Arabidopsis thaliana: one gene and its partners. The protein of the gene in region 1 purifies or fractionates together with the protein of each later gene. This does not show direct contact. Each region holds a gene or a part of one and is shown in the gene's direction. Other genes may lie near its edges. The genes, in order: AT2G40290, AT1G73230, CAND1 and BTF3.

What was found.
Region 2: the proteins of AT2G40290 (region 1) and AT1G73230 fractionate together in Arabidopsis thaliana (co-fractionation; one large-scale study listed by BioGRID). This does not show direct contact.
Region 3: the proteins of AT2G40290 (region 1) and CAND1 fractionate together in Arabidopsis thaliana (co-fractionation; one large-scale study listed by BioGRID). This does not show direct contact.
Region 4: the proteins of AT2G40290 (region 1) and BTF3 fractionate together in Arabidopsis thaliana (co-fractionation; one large-scale study listed by BioGRID). This does not show direct contact.

Annotation. Positions count from the first base shown.
Region 1 is NC_003071.7:16,828,258-16,832,976, reverse strand, and holds AT2G40290 (Eukaryotic translation initiation factor 2 subunit 1), read left to right. Parts: upstream 1-1,750; 5' UTR 1,751-2,087; coding exon 2,088-2,471; intron 2,472-2,601; coding exon 2,602-2,658; intron 2,659-2,737; coding exon 2,738-2,824; intron 2,825-2,907; coding exon 2,908-3,054; coding exon of another isoform or gene 3,055-3,105; exon of another isoform or gene 3,106-3,142; coding exon 3,143-3,247; intron 3,248-3,555; coding exon 3,556-3,654; exon of another isoform or gene 3,655-3,658; intron 3,659-3,791; coding exon 3,792-3,947; 3' UTR 3,948-4,211; downstream 4,212-4,719. Other genes in the region: FER4 (ferritin 4), read left to right, coding at 1-79, 232-315, 400-460, 546-633, 891-952, 1,070-1,135, 1,240-1,303, 1,439-1,476; AT2G40280 (S-adenosyl-L-methionine-dependent methyltransferases superfamily protein), read left to right, coding at 4,677-4,719. UniProt on the Arabidopsis thaliana protein: Functions in the early steps of protein synthesis by forming a ternary complex with GTP and initiator tRNA. This complex binds to a 40S ribosomal subunit, followed by mRNA binding to form a 43S pre-initiation complex.
Region 2 is NC_003070.9:27,539,703-27,543,500, reverse strand, and holds AT1G73230 (Nascent polypeptide-associated complex NAC), read left to right. Parts: upstream 1-1,548; 5' UTR 1,549-1,681; intron 1,682-2,136; coding exon 2,137-2,204; intron 2,205-2,290; coding exon 2,291-2,439; intron 2,440-2,538; coding exon 2,539-2,595; intron 2,596-2,679; coding exon 2,680-2,718; intron 2,719-2,810; coding exon 2,811-2,995; 3' UTR 2,996-3,273; downstream 3,274-3,798. Other genes in the region: AT1G73240 (nucleoporin protein Ndc1-Nup protein), read left to right, coding at 166-543, 640-1,104; OCT1 (organic cation/carnitine transporter1), read right to left, coding at 3,392-3,798.
Region 3 is NC_003071.7:688,037-692,838, forward strand, and holds the start of CAND1 (cullin-associated and neddylation dissociated), read left to right. Parts: upstream 1-1,747; 5' UTR 1,748-1,899; intron 1,900-2,275; 5' UTR 2,276-2,308; coding exon 2,309-2,344; intron 2,345-2,426; coding exon 2,427-2,602; intron 2,603-2,702; coding exon 2,703-2,910; intron 2,911-3,199; coding exon 3,200-3,365; intron 3,366-3,643; coding exon 3,644-3,773; intron 3,774-3,958; coding exon 3,959-4,073; intron 4,074-4,285; coding exon 4,286-4,443; intron 4,444-4,530; coding exon 4,531-4,654; intron 4,655-4,802. Other genes in the region: AT2G02550 (PIN domain-like family protein), read left to right, coding at 561-728. UniProt on the Arabidopsis thaliana protein: Key assembly factor of SCF (SKP1-CUL1-F-box protein) E3 ubiquitin ligase complexes that promotes the exchange of the substrate-recognition F-box subunit in SCF complexes, thereby playing a key role in the cellular repertoire of SCF complexes.
Region 4 is NC_003070.9:6,151,838-6,155,800, reverse strand, and holds BTF3 (basic transcription factor 3), read left to right. Parts: upstream 1-1,818; 5' UTR 1,819-1,935; intron 1,936-2,375; coding exon 2,376-2,443; intron 2,444-2,532; coding exon 2,533-2,681; intron 2,682-2,770; coding exon 2,771-2,827; intron 2,828-2,920; coding exon 2,921-2,959; intron 2,960-3,044; coding exon 3,045-3,229; 3' UTR 3,230-3,417; downstream 3,418-3,963. Other genes in the region: GER2 (NAD(P)-binding Rossmann-fold superfamily protein), read left to right, coding at 205-226, 359-1,323; EGY3 (ethylene-dependent gravitropism-deficient and yellow-green-like 3), read left to right, coding at 3,616-3,963.

The DNA of each region.
Region 1 (4,719 bases):
TCCCTACCAGCTCTCATCTCTCACTCGCTCGACAAAAGTACTCAGACGAGTGCGAAGCCGCCATTAACGAGCAGATCAAGTAGGTTATTCTTTCTCACCCCAGTCTCTTAGATTCGGTATTATAATCTGGTTGATTGGCTATAAGATTTGGTAACTTGGAACCTCATGTTGATTCTGCTTATTGTTTATGAACCTGTGAATTTGAAATTCTTCAATGGATTTTGGTTGCAGTGTGGAATACAATGTCTCGTATGTGTATCACGCTATGTATGCTTACTTTGATCGGGATAACATCGCGCTCAAAGGTCTTGCCAAGTGAGTCTCCGGTTATTCAAGAGTGTTGATATTTTCGGATTTTTTTTGTTTATCCATAGTTAATTGTTGGTTTCATGGAATCAGGTTCTTTAAGGAATCAAGTTTGGAAGAAAGAGAGCATGCTGAGAAGTTAATGGAGTATCAGGTCTTATGAAAGTTATTTCCATTTGTTTACCTTATTGGAGCTAATTTGGTTCTAACATGTTTTAGTTTTTTTCCATGAATTGCAGAACAAACGTGGTGGGAGGGTTAAGTTACAGTCCATTGTAATGCCTCTTTCAGAGTTTGAACATGTTGACAAAGGAGATGCTCTTTATGGTAAGCTCAAAAATGCTAACACTAATAATCCCAAGTGAAAAAACTTCTTTAGTTTCATATGTCTGCCACATTCTAAGAAATTAGATATTGACACCAATGATTTTGTTAAGCTTTTGAAGAGATTGCATATTTTCACTAGCAAAGACTGAATTTTATCTGAGTTCTTAAGTATTATGAAAATGTATCTCTCATATGGAGATTCAAGTCTCAATGGATATAGGAATTTTAACATACAATTCTGTGATTTGTTGTTGCAGGCATGGAGCTTGCTCTGTCACTGGAGAAACTAGTTAATGAGAAGCTCTTAAACCTTCACAGTGTAAAGACCATCTCTTCTTGAGTTCATACTATATATGTCAAATCCGTATTTGAGAAGTAAATCTAATCTTCACTCGGCAAGAACTGTTCTCAGTTTGGTAATGCTTTGCTTCAACAGGTTGCTTCGAAGAACAATGATGTCCACTTGGCAGATTTTATTGAGAGCGAGTTTCTGACAGAGCAGGTAATTTATTTGGTGTTCTATGTTAGTGGCAAAGAGCTACTGTTGTATATAAGCTATCAAAGAGAATCTAATAGGAATTTTTGATAAAATAAAACATTTCTCAGGTGGAAGCAATCAAGTTGATCTCAGAATATGTGGCTCAACTGCGACGAGTTGGCAAAGGACACGGTACATAAATAATCTCTCACATTTTGTTCTAATCTATAAATTTATAAAAGAACAAGAAAATCCACTTATTCATCCTACGTCGTGCCTCAAACTTGGTTTTAATATATGTCTTTGAATGCTTGTGGGTAATTTCAGGAACATGGCATTTCAATCAGATGCTTCTGGAAGGGTAAGCAGCTTCGAGGGACTCTTGTGTCTACTGTGTTTCTATATGTGTCTACTTTATGTTTAGTTCTTTAGCTTTTACGATTTTGTGAGGTAGTAGACTTCTTTTTCTGTAAGAGACAAAAGACATGATCACATAACTTTATATTCTGGTATAAGGTTCATCAAACCCACCTGGTGATCGATTCTACATCGGTTCGGTCAGAATGTTTTTGGACTGCCAAATGTGGATTCGAGCTCTAGTTTAGTTTGCTCCGGTTTAAACGCAATTCATGAATAAGCAAAGGAAATCAATCCAAACTTACGTTGTGAAAGAAGTTGGGCCGAAAATGTCTGAAACCCGAATAGGCTTTTAACCCCTAACCCCTTGAAACTATCTTGTGGCCCAATTAAAACCTAATTGTTTAACTGACACGGTGCCGTTTAACTTGGCATCTTTGACGCAAGTCGACTCATTTTCCGTTTGTGTTCCTTGCTCATTTCTTATCTCTAGAAACCTGTCTGATTTGCTCCGTCGCCTAAAAAGTCTAAAACCCTAAGTGTCTCCGCCTCGTAGCTTTACCCGATTCAACGAAGAGTGAATTCGCGTGAGCTCAAGCAGTATCGAAATCTACCAATCATGGCGAGTCAAACACCGAATCTCGAGTGTCGGATGTACGAGGCGAAATACCCAGAGGTGGATATGGCGGTGATGATCCAGGTGAAGAACATTGCCGATATGGGAGCTTATGTTTCTCTCCTCGAGTACAACAACATCGAAGGCATGATCCTTTTCTCCGAGCTCTCTCGTCGTCGGATCCGAAGTGTTAGCAGTTTGATTAAGGTCGGAAGAATTGAGCCTGTCATGGTTCTCCGTGTTGACAAAGAGAAAGGTTACATTGATCTGAGCAAACGTAGAGTCAGCGAGGAAGATATTCAGACTTGTGAAGAGAGGTATAACAAGAGCAAACTTGTTCATTCTATCATGCGCCATGTTGCTGAGACTCTTTCAATTGATTTGGAGGTAAAATATCGTAGTTCAAATCTGGGATTATCTACTGGATTTGGATTTTGCTTGTTAGAGATATTATCAAATATCATAGCTTAGTGATGTGATCGTTGAATAGAAATTGATTTGAGCTTTCATGTTGCAGGACTTGTATGTGAACATTGGTTGGCCTTTGTATCGACGACATGGTCATGCTTTTGAGGTAAGAATTTTGTGAATTGGAGATTCATTGTGTATCTCTATGGTTATTTAGTTCTCATATATAATTTTCTTTTGTTCAGGCTTTCAAGATCTTAGTGACGGATCCTGATTCAGTGTTGGGTCCTCTCACCCGTGAGATCAAAGAAGTTGGGCCTGATGGGCAAGAGGTATATACTTTGTTCTCTGGCATTGTTTTAGCGGTTAGTACTAACTTTATTTGGTGCTAATCTTACAAGTTTTCTGTTTGTAGGTGACTAAGGTTGTACCTGCTGTTACGGAAGAAGTGAAAGATGCACTTGTGAAGAACATTAGGAGGAGAATGACACCACAACCAATGAAAATCCGGGCTGATATCGAATTGAAGTGTTTTCAGTTTGATGGAGTTGTTCACATTAAGGTCGTATCTCTTATTAGATTATCTTTAACTTGTGAAATGAATACATTATGATTTCATTTGATTTTCTCACCCATGCTTGTAATTTCAGGAGGCTATGAAAAATGCTGAAGCCGCTGGAAATGAAGACTGTCCTGTTAAGATTAAATTGGTTGCTCCACCTCTGTATGTCCTTACTACTCAGACACTTGACAAGGTTAGGCAATCTTCTATCTTGCACTATGATTTACTTGGTTTGGTAATTGGTATATTATAGAAATCCTCCCCTACTTATCTTTAAGAGGTTTATGATCTCTGTTTAGATTGTATATCCACTAAAGCTACTTGCCAGAATTTTGAAAACACTGTAGTTGCAAGGAAAGTAAATGCTTAAGAAAACACTGGACATTGCAACTTTGTTTGCCAATTATGTAGCTCTGCGGATTTGTCTTCACTTAAACCATAAATGTGTAAATGCTATGTTTTGTCCCATTTTATCTTCTCAATTTCTCAAATATTAAACAGGAACAAGGGATTGAAATTCTAAACAAAGCCATAGCAGCATGCACTGAGACAATTGAGACACACAAAGGCAAGCTTGTCGTTAAGGAGGGGGCTAGAGCTGTGAGTATCTTAAATTAGTTTTTTTTAAGTGATGAACCGTCTCGAGTTGCATGTCACAAGAACGAGCTTTTCTTTTGTGTTTTGTTTAATTTGGTTCACAACCGCCTATTAATGTTTATAATCTATGTCAAATATAGGTGAGTGAACGTGATGAAAAGATGCTGACAGAACACATGGCTAAGCTACGTCTTGACAATGAAGAAATGAGCGGCGATGAAGATAGCGGAGACGAAGAAGAGGACACTGGTATGGGCGAAGTGGATCTCGATGCAGGTGCCGGAATCATCGAGTAAGATTGCCGGATTTTTCTTTCTATTAAATCTACCCAATCTCAACAGTCCCAGTATTTTGGTTTAAGCTTTGACAAGGCAGTAGAAAAACCTCCGAGAGGATTTATGTGCTTTTTGATGACTCTGAGGCATTTTATTTTACCCATAGGGGGTGGTTACATATCAATCATACATTCATGGTTTTATAAAAGATTTGATTCTTTGCATATGTTACTACTGCTCAAGAATATGTTGCTCCACCACATGACTCATTATTATCTTAGGAAAACTTTGGCTCAATATGATCATACTTTTGAGTTTAAACCTCAGGAAAGTAGGTTGATTGGATCTGGCAATGATAGGTGTGTAGATTTAATTCAGATCTGATGTCTCCGAAGATGCAGATATTCATCAATTACTACTGCGATCTTCTATTGAGAAAATTTACCAAAAATGAAATTCTTAAAAATCCTCTGTCTGATACATAAATGGTTAACTTGCAATTGATTCATAATTAAAATGATTTATTACAAGATCAAACATCTTGTCTTATACTACTAATCAGAAAAGAAAAATTCTTTCGGACACAAATCCTTTTTTAATCTGTCGGCGCATTAAAAATTACTTAAGCTCTCTCTGCAAAATCGAAATGTGAAAGTTGCGACTTTTGGAGCTCAGCTCAGCTCACACTTTCCTCTTCCTCTTACCTGAAACGCGTCTCGTAACACTGATCTCTAATGATCTTCGTCTCCAATGGCGATATCAGTACAACACGTCGTCGTTTTACTCCTCTCCA
Region 2 (3,798 bases), on another chromosome or scaffold:
TGTTTACTTTTCTTGAATAACTTAACTCTATTCCTACCTAAACAACTTTAAGTATTCATCGGTGAGTTTGCTCTGTGTATTACTTGTTACATCCATAAACTTCAGCTACTTTTCCAGGTTCTAGATACAAAAGAAGTTAGTTATAATTGTTGTTTTCATATCCAGGTTCTGCACACAAAACGGTTCAGCTTTGCTCCTCCAAAAGGATCTGCTGCAGCAGAAACGAATCCAAGCGAGCCTCTTCTTGCTGCTTTAGAAGGGAGCGCTCCAGGTTCCCTCGAGCAGTCTCTTGCATACCTTGATCTCTACATGGTGTCTCAGAATAATGTTGACACATGGCGTCGTGCTGCCTTCTTTGAGGAGTCCACCGAGACGTACAAAAGAGTAATTACTCTATGCTTGAGGCCTTTGGAAGAGCTTGCCTCCAAGTTAGCTTCTGGGCTAGACCACACCTTTACTGAAAAAGGTTATCAGACACCACTCCAGCCACCAACCGAGTCCTTTATTGATCCAAAATTCGGCGAATCACTTAAGTCTTTCCAGGTAAAACGAAATTCAAATTTTGATCCCTTTTCTATGTGATAATTTCTTCATGTAGCTGTAACCAAAATCTGTTTGCTCTGTATCCGATATTTGCAGCTATATGCATGGTGTGCTCAAACATCTGCATCCCTGACTTCAATCTCTCACAAGGAAGACAGGCTCGGAGTAGCTCAACTGTCTGGTGGAAACGCTGATGTTGTCTCAACACTTCTATCGCTTTTGCTAGCTATCGAAACGTTTATGGGGAAGAAGACTAATCTTCAATCACCTCAACAACTGATGGGACCTGCTAGTATCAAATGGGCGACCTCGAGTATGGTCAGAAAAGACGTTAAACCCATCAAAAGGAGTATTGGCGCAATGTACGCCTACGCATATGCAGCGACAGATGTTTTGAGGATATCAGTATACCAGATTCTATCCACATTCCGCGATGAAATGCTCAACAGCGACAGAGCCGGACTTCTTGGTAGAGATTGGATTGGAAGCAAGAAACCACCTTTTGGAACAAACGACATGCTCCTACAGAAGCTTAAGCTCTTCCTCGAGTTCCAAGCTTGATGGAAGATTAAAGAGGTACAATTCCTCGATTAAATGTGGTAACAAGTGTCATCATGATTCAAGAGCTGGATAGAAAAAGGAACTAGAGTATTTTGTTACATGATCAAAAAGCCTTGTATTGGAAAATGAAATCCCTCGATTTTGCAGAAATTTGGGATTAATCTTGTTTTTGGTAAACTAGAAAATTATATAAGAATCAAACTTTAATGGTAAGTTTTGCATCTTAAATCTTGATTACATAAATTTTGCAGAAGACTCTCTATATGCTTAACAGTAACTAACTCTTACGCAATTTACGAAGGAAACCAAAATTAGAATCTGAAATGGGCCAGAGATTTATTAGGGCCCATGGCGTGGCTAATAGTAATATCGAAGGAGAGATCGTGACCGTTGGATGATGATTAATATAATAATTGTATAGTGGTTAAAGCTTAGATTGGCTACATTACACATCGCATTTACTTAAAGGGCAAAACCCTCCAGCGCCGCTTGGATCTCTCTCTCCTCTGTTCTCTCTTCCCTTATCTTCTTCTTATACCCTTCGACCAACGAAGAACCCTAGAAATCGATTAACAAGGTAAGCCCACTTCAGCAAATCGTTCACTCATTTCATTTCCAAGATATTCGATTGTTTCCTTCTGATTTAGCACAAGGGTCAAGATCATTTTTTTGTTTTTGTTCTTCCTCGATTCATATGTTTTTTTTCATTGATTACTGTTTTTGATATTGGTTATCTTGTTTTCCAATAACTTGTTAGTTAGTTAAAAGTAATGTTTGTGTAATGGTGACCTAATCGATTGAAAAAATTGAAACTTTAGGTTAAGCTCATTGTAACAATACGAGCTTTGTTCTTCTCGCTGCACTGTTCTCATAATCCTAGTGTAATCAATTTGTGGGTTGTGACTATTGCTCAGTATTACTGTTTTTGTCATTGGCTAATTAATAACAGTATTAGTTATTGTATATGCTTAATTTATAAGATACATTTTGGGCTAAATGGGTTTAGCTTTGTGTGTTTGTTTTGAAAAACAGATGAATAGGGAAAAGTTGATGAAGATGGCTAACACTGTCCGCACTGGCGGAAAGGGGACAGTAAGAAGGTATACTCATTTATGTCTTTTCTGTGAATTTGTGTTTTTGCCATTTTTCATGTTATATTCTCTAAACATTTTGACTCTCATTTCAGAAAGAAGAAGGCTGTTCACAAGACCACTACAACCGATGACAAGAGGCTCCAGAGCACTCTTAAGAGAGTTGGAGTCAATTCCATTCCCGCCATTGAAGAAGTTAACATTTTTAAGGATGATGTAGTCATTCAGTTCATTAACCCTAAAGGTAAAACATCAAATTTTATGGCTTTATAAATCTCAGGTTTCGTATAAAATTTATTGTATTAATGGTTGTTGTGTCTCTGTTTTAATGTTGCTATCACAGTTCAAGCTTCAATTGCTGCTAACACATGGGTTGTGAGTGGTACACCACAGACGAAAAGTAAGTGTTTGTATCCTCATTGTTGATCCAATACTATTCTCGGTTTATGCATAGTCTAATCTCGGAATGTGAATTATCCTGCAGAATTGCAAGACATTCTTCCTCAGATTATCAGCCAACTTGGTATGCAGCATTAAGTGTTACACTCTGATGTCCTTTCCCAAACCAGTGGTCCCTTAAGTTAACATTTTGTTTTCTTGCTTTGATAATCGCAGGACCAGATAACTTGGACAACCTGAAGAAGCTAGCAGAGCAATTCCAGAAACAAGCTCCAGGTGCAGGTGATGTCCCAGCAACAATCCAAGAAGAGGACGATGATGATGATGTCCCAGATCTTGTAGTGGGAGAGACTTTCGAGACCCCTGCTACTGAAGAGGCTCCCAAAGCTGCTGCTTCTTAGAGGAGGAGGAAGAAGAAGGAGAAGAGCTCACCTGCAAAACCCATCATAAAAATGTTTGTCGCTCGACCTCTTCTGAGCACTGTCAGATTCTTGTTTTCTCTAATGCTTGCGAACAGAAAGACTTGGTTTTATTATCACTTGATGCTTTTTGGTCCGAACAGCAATTTTCCTTTTATTAAGGTTAGATCGCTTTTTGTTTACCACCTGTTCAAATGAGTACTACTATGTCCTGTCGCTTCATACACTTCTTGCAACACAGTCCTTTGTTTTGAGTCAACGATGTCTTGAGATGAACAATCAACAGTTTCGTACATTTAAATGGAAATTCCAAAGATTTTACATATTTCCAATTATTGGATGTAAACATTCCATAGAAATACAACACTCTGAATGCAATCAAGTAATCATGATTGTTTCGTTTTCGATCTCTTCCGCTTTCCCCTGTTGTGCTAGTGTTTCGTAAAGCGGAGCGTTTCGAGTTTCTCGTAGCCAGAGACTCACGATGCCGCTCAGCACTGATGCAACACCAAACACGATGAACGACATCATTGCGCTTTCCCTTCCTAACGCAACTAGCAGTGGTGCTGCAGACGCTCCTAGCATAAACGCTTGACGCAAAAGTGAGACAGCAGTGTTCCTAACGTTTGTTGGGAACAGCTCTACGCAGTAGACATATAGGACGTCATACGCTGTCGAGGATGCCATGAACCCAACCGCCTCAACTGCAAGTTGTAACCATTTTGCCACAGATATCGCACGGATCACGCGGTGGATCGAGAGAACCGCGCAGAGCAGACACGCGA
Region 3 (4,802 bases), about 16 Mb from region 1:
GAAGAGTAAGTTCTTTAATACACTTATCAATTATTATTATTTTAAAGGTTTTTCTCATGTAGACATAACATTAATTTTTACTACCACTTTAAACTTTTGTGTGATCACAAATTATTTTCGCCAGTAAAGACTTTGAATTGCTTGAACTCGAAATGATAGACTTATTGAAGCGGTTTCATAGTAGCAAGAAAAATAAAGACAACGAAAAAGAAACTAAAGAAGAAGCAAAATCTTACGATTTTTCAGAATTCACAGACGATAATTTTCTGGAGATGTGCATTCTTTGCGATTGTGACTATTTTAAATGGCCATTAACGGAGGGATCCGAAAGAGCATATGAAATAATTGGTACTAAAACTATACGTGGTAGAGAGGTACTTTTTACTTGGTTTAGTTCAAAATAGTAGTATACTATACATTTAGATTTTGTATTTGCATGTATGATGACATGATGTGTGTTATTCATTTTCTTTCAGGTAATAGAGGAACTACTAGAGGACAGCACTGACCTAACTTCTCATCTGAAAAAATTCATAATTTTGTTGCTTTTCAAATATTAGTATGTCTATAATCAAGTAATTGAAGAGCTTCAACACTTGAATGTGCCTGAGGTGTCTAACCTTCCATTCTTGCGTGACCGTGAGTCTGGCGATGAATTTGTCATTCGAAAGTATGAAGATTCTACGGGCACATATTTGTCAACAACTAAGACTAAGGAAATAGCATAAGGAAGACTTAATCCTGAAACCCACGAAAAATTTACACACGTGGAAGTGGAAGAAACAGATGACGAAGAAACTACTTAGACAAAAGTATCTAATAATTTGAATTTCGAAGTTCTAGTTCAAAATAAAGGAAGTCTAATTTCGACAAAAAATCTCACATCTATACCATATTTTACGGTTTTAGTTTTTTTTAGTCGTTAGCAACAATGACAATCAGTTATATTTTGTTAACTTTATAATCGTTAGCGATGACTATCGACAATGAAATCATGTTTATTTGGTAGTCGTTGGGTCGGGAACATTTAACAAATGATTTTGATTCAATTTTTTTTTTTTCTTATAAACCTTATCGGCTGATCTGGTTAGCCCTAGTAAAAACACACCGAAATGTTTTCGAGTGGACTTCTTCCCGAAAAACCACCATACTGTCTGTCTGTCACGAGTTTGAAATGCTTTCTGACTAATGCCAGGGGGTAGTCAGGCGGCCGCCTACATTTCTAATTACCAAGTAAACCAATTAAACCAAGACCCAACTTATACACTTACCAACTTTCAAGGAGAATCGAACTCGGGTCTAAGAGTTTCATCCTTCCCAAAGCTTCCCCTACCACTAAACCACATATACTTGGCCTAGGTTGAAAACTTTCAGTGATACAATTTTTTACTTGCTAATCGTTCAAAAATATTGACCATAAATTGTCGATGAACCAATGGCTAACACTATTTAGTTGGTTGGTCGCAATCGCATAGCATGTCCCTGACACAAAAAAAGCAAACAAAAAAAGAACTACTTGGATCAAACAAAGAAACCCATGCTTGGGCTCAGACTGAAAACAAAGTAATTGGGCCAAACCCATTTAGTATTAACCGACTAATCAAGTCCAACAATGTACAGCATGAAATAAACGCTACCCATTAACCGACTCAAATCGCACCAAGTCAGGCCCAATTAATCCTACACAGGCCCATTTAGAAGAAAGTTAACTTCCTCCTTAAGAAGAGAGAAGGGCTAAAAATCAAGCTTTCACGAGTACGGAAATTTACAGTATCTCCTCCATCTTTTTTTACTTTCCTCAGAGCTCTCTCCTCTCCGCAACTTCCACCACCACCAAATCGGAACTCTCGGCGTTCTACTCCGTCTCCGGCGTTACCTCCGTCGATTTCATCTTCTCAGGTTACTTAGGGTTACCTCTTTTTTGCTTTTTGATCGATAAAGTGTGATGATGTCTAGCGTTAACTCTTTTCGTCTTCGTAGTCGTAGTCTTAGGGTTTTGGTGGCGACGATACTTTGATTTATCAAACCGAACTTCTTCTTTGTGATCTTCGATGAATCAAAAGTTTTCTAAGGGATATTAATTAGGTTTTGTTACCGGCGATAATTAATCCATCTTCGATGCTTCTTCTTTACACTTCTGACTTTGTTTCTGATGTTTTAACCTCTGTGGAGAGCTTGATAGAGTGACATTGCTCTGACTAAGCGTTTTAGTTCAACGCATGGTTGATTCTCTTTTTACTAAGTAATGAATTTTGAGATCCTTGTTTGATTGCAGTTGGAAGGAGTGAATTGAGAAGGTCGGGCCAATATGGCGAACTTACAAGTTTCTGGGATACTCGAAAAGGTCTTTTCATCATCTGTTTCTAATTAAGCTTAATTTTGTTTTTGAGTATAGTCACCTTTTCTCATTGCTGTATTTACTATAGTTTCAGATGACGGGTAAAGATAAAGATTACAGATACATGGCAACCTCTGATTTGCTTAATGAGTTGAATAAGGATTCCTTTAAAATCGACCTGGACTTGGAGGTGAGATTGTCGAGTATCATATTGCAACAGCTCGATGATGTGGCTGGTGATGTTTCTGGATTGGCTGTTAAATGGTTAGCTTTCTGCTCTTAGCAACTTATGACCTAAGCTGATGTTATACTTTTACATTTAGCTGATCTATCGTCGACCTTTGATGTTATGATTTTGTTCCAGTCTTGCTCCATTGGTGAAGAAGGTTGGAGAAGAACGAATTGTTGAAATGACCAACAAGTTATGTGATAAACTGCTGCATGGGAAAGACCAGCATCGTGATACCGCAAGCATAGCTCTCAGGACTGTTGTCGCTCAAATTGCTCCTACGCTTGCTCCATCTATTCTTGTTACTCTAACACCACAAATGATAGGAGGAATAAGTGGCCAGGTTAGTTGTTGGGAGGTCTATTCCTTATTATTTCGATTGCATATGCGACAGTGCTTAGGGTCGTCCTAGACAATTTCGGATCCCATCAAAATCATATTGATTGACATCTATTGGAAAATTAGTTGATTTTACGTTTTAAGTTTTATTGGATCTAATACAGTTAAAGAACTCTGTCTGAAAAACTCTTAGTAGACCAGAGCACAGTATATGCATATAATTATTTGTCTACTCTAAGGTTCTATCATCTTATTTTACAAGTAACTAATTTTCTGCGTATTTACTGCTGAAGGGAATGAGCTCAGGGATCAAGTGTGAATGTCTTGAGATCATGTGTGATGTTGTTCAAAAATATGGAAGTTTAATGACGGATGATCACGAGAAGCTATTGAATACATTGTTATTGCAATTGGGCTGTAACCAAGCCACAGTCAGGAAGAAGACTGTTACATGCATTGGTAAGTTCATAAAATTGAGTCAATATGATTGCTGGGTACTGTCGGTACTAATGTCAATATTTAGCTAATTTGAAACCAACTTTAATCTGCCGAGACTTGAGTGGTAGCTTTCCTTATCTATATTAGAAATATGGTTTTCAGCTGTTTGCGTCAATTCTTGTGAAACCGATGCTAGTTCAAATGATATATTCAATGTCATTTTTTTCCTAGTCGTATATAGAACTCTTAATTCGATGGTATATAGCCTCTTCTAAGTTCAAAATTTTGTGTGGTGTCAGCTTCTCTTGCTTCCAGTCTGTCTGATGATTTGCTCGCGAAGGCGACTGTTGAAGTTGTGAAAAATCTAAGTAACAGGAATGCAAAATCGGAGATTACACGTACCAATATTCAAATGATTGGAGCTTTATGGTACTTCCTATCTTCCTTCTTATCGGCTTGTTATATATCTTTAACTTCTTACCATACGTTACTGTAGTGTTGTAGTATGCTTCGGTTAGTTGTACTTGTGCTACCTATTTATTGATTGGGATGAATGGTTATCTACGACTAGGCTTGCCATGGTTGTAATGCTATTTAATGCGTTTTTGTTTCAGCCGTGCTGTTGGTTACCGGTTTGGCACTCATCTAGGTAACACTGTGCCAGTATTAATCAATTACTGCACTAGCGCTTCAGAAAATGACGAGGAGCTTCGCGAGTATAGCTTACAGGTATCGTGCAAGATTCCCTAATGTTCCTACTTTCTCACTACGCTTGCATTTTTTGTTTTCTCATCTAATTTTTGTAATCAGACAATTACTTAGGCGTGCTTGTAGTCTCTTTTCTTTCCTATGCTATTAAATTGGAATTCTAATCTTAGGTTCAATAAAATTGGTATGAACAATGTAGACGATAACATGTCTGTTCTGAAATTTGACTGCAGGCACTTGAAAGTTTCTTGCTACGATGTCCCAGGGACATCTCACCATATTGTGATGAAATTTTAAATCTTACTTTAGAATATATTAGTTATGACCCGAATTTTACGGACAATATGGAGGAAGATACTGATAATGAGACTCTTGAAGATGAAGAAGATGAGTAAGTTCTGATTTATTCATTGGAACAGTAGCCTAGCTCCTTACGGTGCACCATTATCTCACTGAAATAAGTCTTTCTTTCTCACAGCGAGAGTGCAAATGAGTACACAGATGATGAAGATGCCAGCTGGAAAGTTAGGAGAGCAGCGGCCAAATGCCTAGCAGGATTAATCGTTTCGCGTTCTGAGATGCTCACTAAAGTATATCAAGAGGTATATCTTTTTTAAATGATCAAGCGTATTATCTTTCATGACGGGAGTGTACAAGATTCCCTTACACAAGAGTTTTTCATTCTTTTACCTGTGTTTGATTAAATATGAAACAAGAATCTACTATAGAATTATTGTTGAGGAGTTTAGT
Region 4 (3,963 bases), on another chromosome or scaffold:
GATCCATAAACTGAATAACAAAATATCCGACACCGATTCAGATCGCCGGCGGATATTCAGATCTCCTCCACATTACATTCTCCAAGGAATTTAACCTTTACCTACAAATCTAAGCTTCTGTCGTTGACTTCGAAAACTGATATCTATAAGTCAAAATCCCCATTCTCAATCGCTCATCGTCTTGTAGAACTAATTGACTAAACAATGGCGGACAACACAGGATCCGGTACGTCCATCTCTCTATTTTATGTCTGAATATAATGTTTCATGTCTATATACGGAGTTTTGTGGAATTGAATTTAGATTTTCGTGGAAATTTTGGAACCCTAGGTCTTTGATCCCTCGTAATTCTGTGCAGAGATGAAATCAGGTTCGTTTATGTTAGAGAAATCCGCCAAGATCTTTGTCGCTGGACATAGGGGATTGGTTGGATCTGCCATTGTCCGCAAGCTCCAGGATCAGGGTTTCACCAATTTGGTCCTTCGAACCCATTCAGAGCTTGATCTCACTAGCCAATCAGATGTTGAATCTTTCTTTGCTACAGAGAAACCAGTTTATGTCATCCTAGCTGCTGCTAAAGTCGGTGGGATTCATGCTAACAACACATACCCAGCTGATTTCATTGGGGTCAATCTCCAAATCCAGACCAATGTGATCCACTCTGCTTATACACACGGTGTGAAGAAACTCCTCTTCCTTGGTTCATCTTGCATTTACCCCAAATTTGCTCCTCAGCCGATTCCCGAATCTGCGCTTCTTACCGGTCCGCTCGAACCGACAAACGAATGGTATGCGATCGCCAAGATCGCGGGTATTAAGATGTGTCAAGCTTACCGGCTTCAGCATCAGTGGGATGCTATCTCCGGTATGCCCACGAATCTGTATGGTCAGAATGATAATTTCCACCCGGAGAATTCCCATGTGCTGCCTGCTCTCATGAGGAGGTTTCATGAAGCCAAAGCCAATAATGCTGACGAAGTTGTGGTTTGGGGAAGTGGAAGCCCGTTGAGGGAGTTTTTACATGTCGATGATTTGGCTGATGCTTGTGTTTTCTTGATGGATCAGTACAGCGGATTTGAGCATGTGAATGTAGGAAGTGGTGTTGAAGTGACGATCAAAGAATTGGCTGAGTTGGTGAAAGAAGTTGTTGGGTTTAAAGGAAAGCTTGTTTGGGATACCACAAAACCAGACGGGACACCAAGGAAACTGATGGATAGCTCGAAGCTTGCGTCTTTGGGATGGACACCGAAGATTTCGCTTAAAGATGGCCTCTCCCAAACTTATGAATGGTATTTGGAAAATGTTGTGCAGAAGAAGCAGTAAAAAAAACAAGGTCCAAAACACAAAGCAATATTCATTCTCTTTACACGTGAATGTTTATGCGTTTGATTTTTGGTTCTATACAGATCTCTCTATCTCTTTTATGTAATTTTTGTATTCATGGATTTCATACAGTTCAAGTTAAGCAAACTTACTTTGTAATAAATGTACCATTGTTGTTGAGATTATCAATAATCGAATAGCTTTCTTCTCTAAATTTTAGTCAACTAAACAAGTCTGTTCATTGATAAACTCATTTAGATAAATTTGTGGATTTTGAAATTCTGGTAACCAAAAGATTATGGTTTGCTACGCGCTAATACTGGTGATTGATTACGGCACAAAAGAGCCCAGTAAATAATTATTGGCCCAGTTTAGTTTTGGGCCTTATGGGCCAATATTATCATCGAGCATCCAACGGTAGTGATGGAGATTTCTTTATGGAATATCTGATATCCACCGTTAGATTAAGAGACGAGGTTGGCTCCGAATAGCATATAGTTAAAGGGCAAAACCCTGCGCCGCCCGCGTCTCTCCTCTCTCTGTTTCTTTTCTTTTTGTTTCATTTTCTTATCTCCTCACACTCTTCGAACAAGGAAGAACCCTAATCTCAAGGTAAATTCATTATCACTGTAATTTTCCTTTCTATTAGTGTTTTATCTCTCCGGTTCTAGGGTTTCTCTAATCCCCGATTTTGCAAAATGTCAGATATCTTTCTTTCTTGATTCATTTCGCTTCTTTCTGTAGATAGGATTAGTTTTTGTCGGTGTTTGGGAATTTACTGGGTTTTCAACTTCTCTGTGTGTTTGATTGGGGGATTTGGTATACCTAATCGATTGAAAATGATTAAATTTAGGTTAAAACTACTAGTCACATCACCGTGTCTTCATACGCATCTGAGTTTAAATCTGTTCGCGCTTACTTTCTTCTCACTAGTTTCTTGTATAATAAGAAGTTTTTGTGAATGTATTATTAGCAGTTAATGTGTTCATTGATTCTTTTGGAAGTGATTTGGGGATTGATGGATTTTGCTTCTTATTATGGTTTATACACAGATGAATAGGGAGAAGTTGATGAAGATGGCTAATACCGTCCGCACTGGCGGAAAGGGTACTGTCAGAAGGTATAGAGTTTTATTCAACCAATTTCATTGTTCAATACTTAGCATTTACTATGATTTGTGTTATGAAACCATTCGATTTTTACTTGCAGAAAGAAGAAGGCTGTGCACAAGACCAATACAACTGATGACAAGAGGCTTCAAAGCACTCTTAAGAGAATTGGAGTTAACTCCATTCCCGCTATTGAAGAAGTTAACATCTTTAAGGATGATGTTGTTATTCAGTTCATCAACCCTAAGGGTAAGTCATTTTTAACCATTTTTTATCTATACATCAGAACCTTTTTTTCATGTTACTGATCATTGTTCCTCCTTTGAATGTTACTACAGTTCAAGCTTCAATTGCTGCAAACACATGGGTTGTTAGCGGTTCTCCTCAGACCAAAAGTATTGCATCTCATAATATCTCTTAATCTCTACTTTCTTGTTTCTTCTTCATTTCATCTTCTCTGATTAATGTAAACGTGTTGCTTCCTGCAGAATTGCAAGATATCCTTCCTCAGATCATCAGCCAACTTGGTGTGTACCATGTAACTGTACAGCTCTTAAATGTTCTTCATCGATCCTAAGGTCTCTAACTTTATGTTACTTTGATCTCTTTCAGGACCAGACAACATGGACAACCTGAAGAAGCTAGCAGAACAGTTCCAGAAACAGGCTTCTGGTGAAGGTAATGCCGCCTCAGCAACCATACAAGAAGAGGATGATGACGATGTCCCAGAGCTTGTTGGAGAGACATTCGAAACTGCTGCTGAAGAGAAAGCACCAGCTGCTGCTGCTTCTTCTTAGAGAGAAAAGAGCGAGACCACATCCAAAAAAAAACCGCACTTTGATTTTTACATATCTTTATAATATGTTTGTTCGCTCGATCCTTTTTGTAGTTTCCGACCAGAATCTTGTTTTCCATCTAATGACTTAAGGTTTTTATCCAATTATTTGATGTCTTATTGATTCTTTGACAGCAAATCAGGTCCTCGTCTTCTTCTTCCTCTTCACTATGTGGATTAGAAGATTTTGATGTGACACATTGTCTTGTTGCATAAAAACCATTCCACCTGTACTGTATGAGTTTCTTCTCAAACTTTCCAGACATTTCATCACTTTCTCTACAAATTCTCTCTCAGAGACATGTCTATTCGTCGTCAAATCTCAATCTTTCTGAGTTTTCGTAAACCATGGCTTCTCTCTTTGTTTCTACTCCATCATCTTCCTTAACTCTTAAATCCTGTCACAGTTTGCATCTTCGTCGCTTTGACAGAGCAGAATTTTCGAACTTTGGGAAAGCTTCTGTGAATCAGACAACGAGAAGCAGACATTCTTTGAGATGTTCAGCGGAAGATGATCGCGTTCGTGAACCTGTGAACGAAGCTCCTTCTCCGGTGGCGTTAGCGGAGGAGCAAAAAGAAGACCACGATAACAATAATGCGCCGCCTTCTCCAGAGAGCAGTGAAGAAGAGGAGGAAAAGAAGTCGAAGCAGCAAGAGATGGATTGGAAAACAGACGAGGAGTTCAAGAAGTTTATG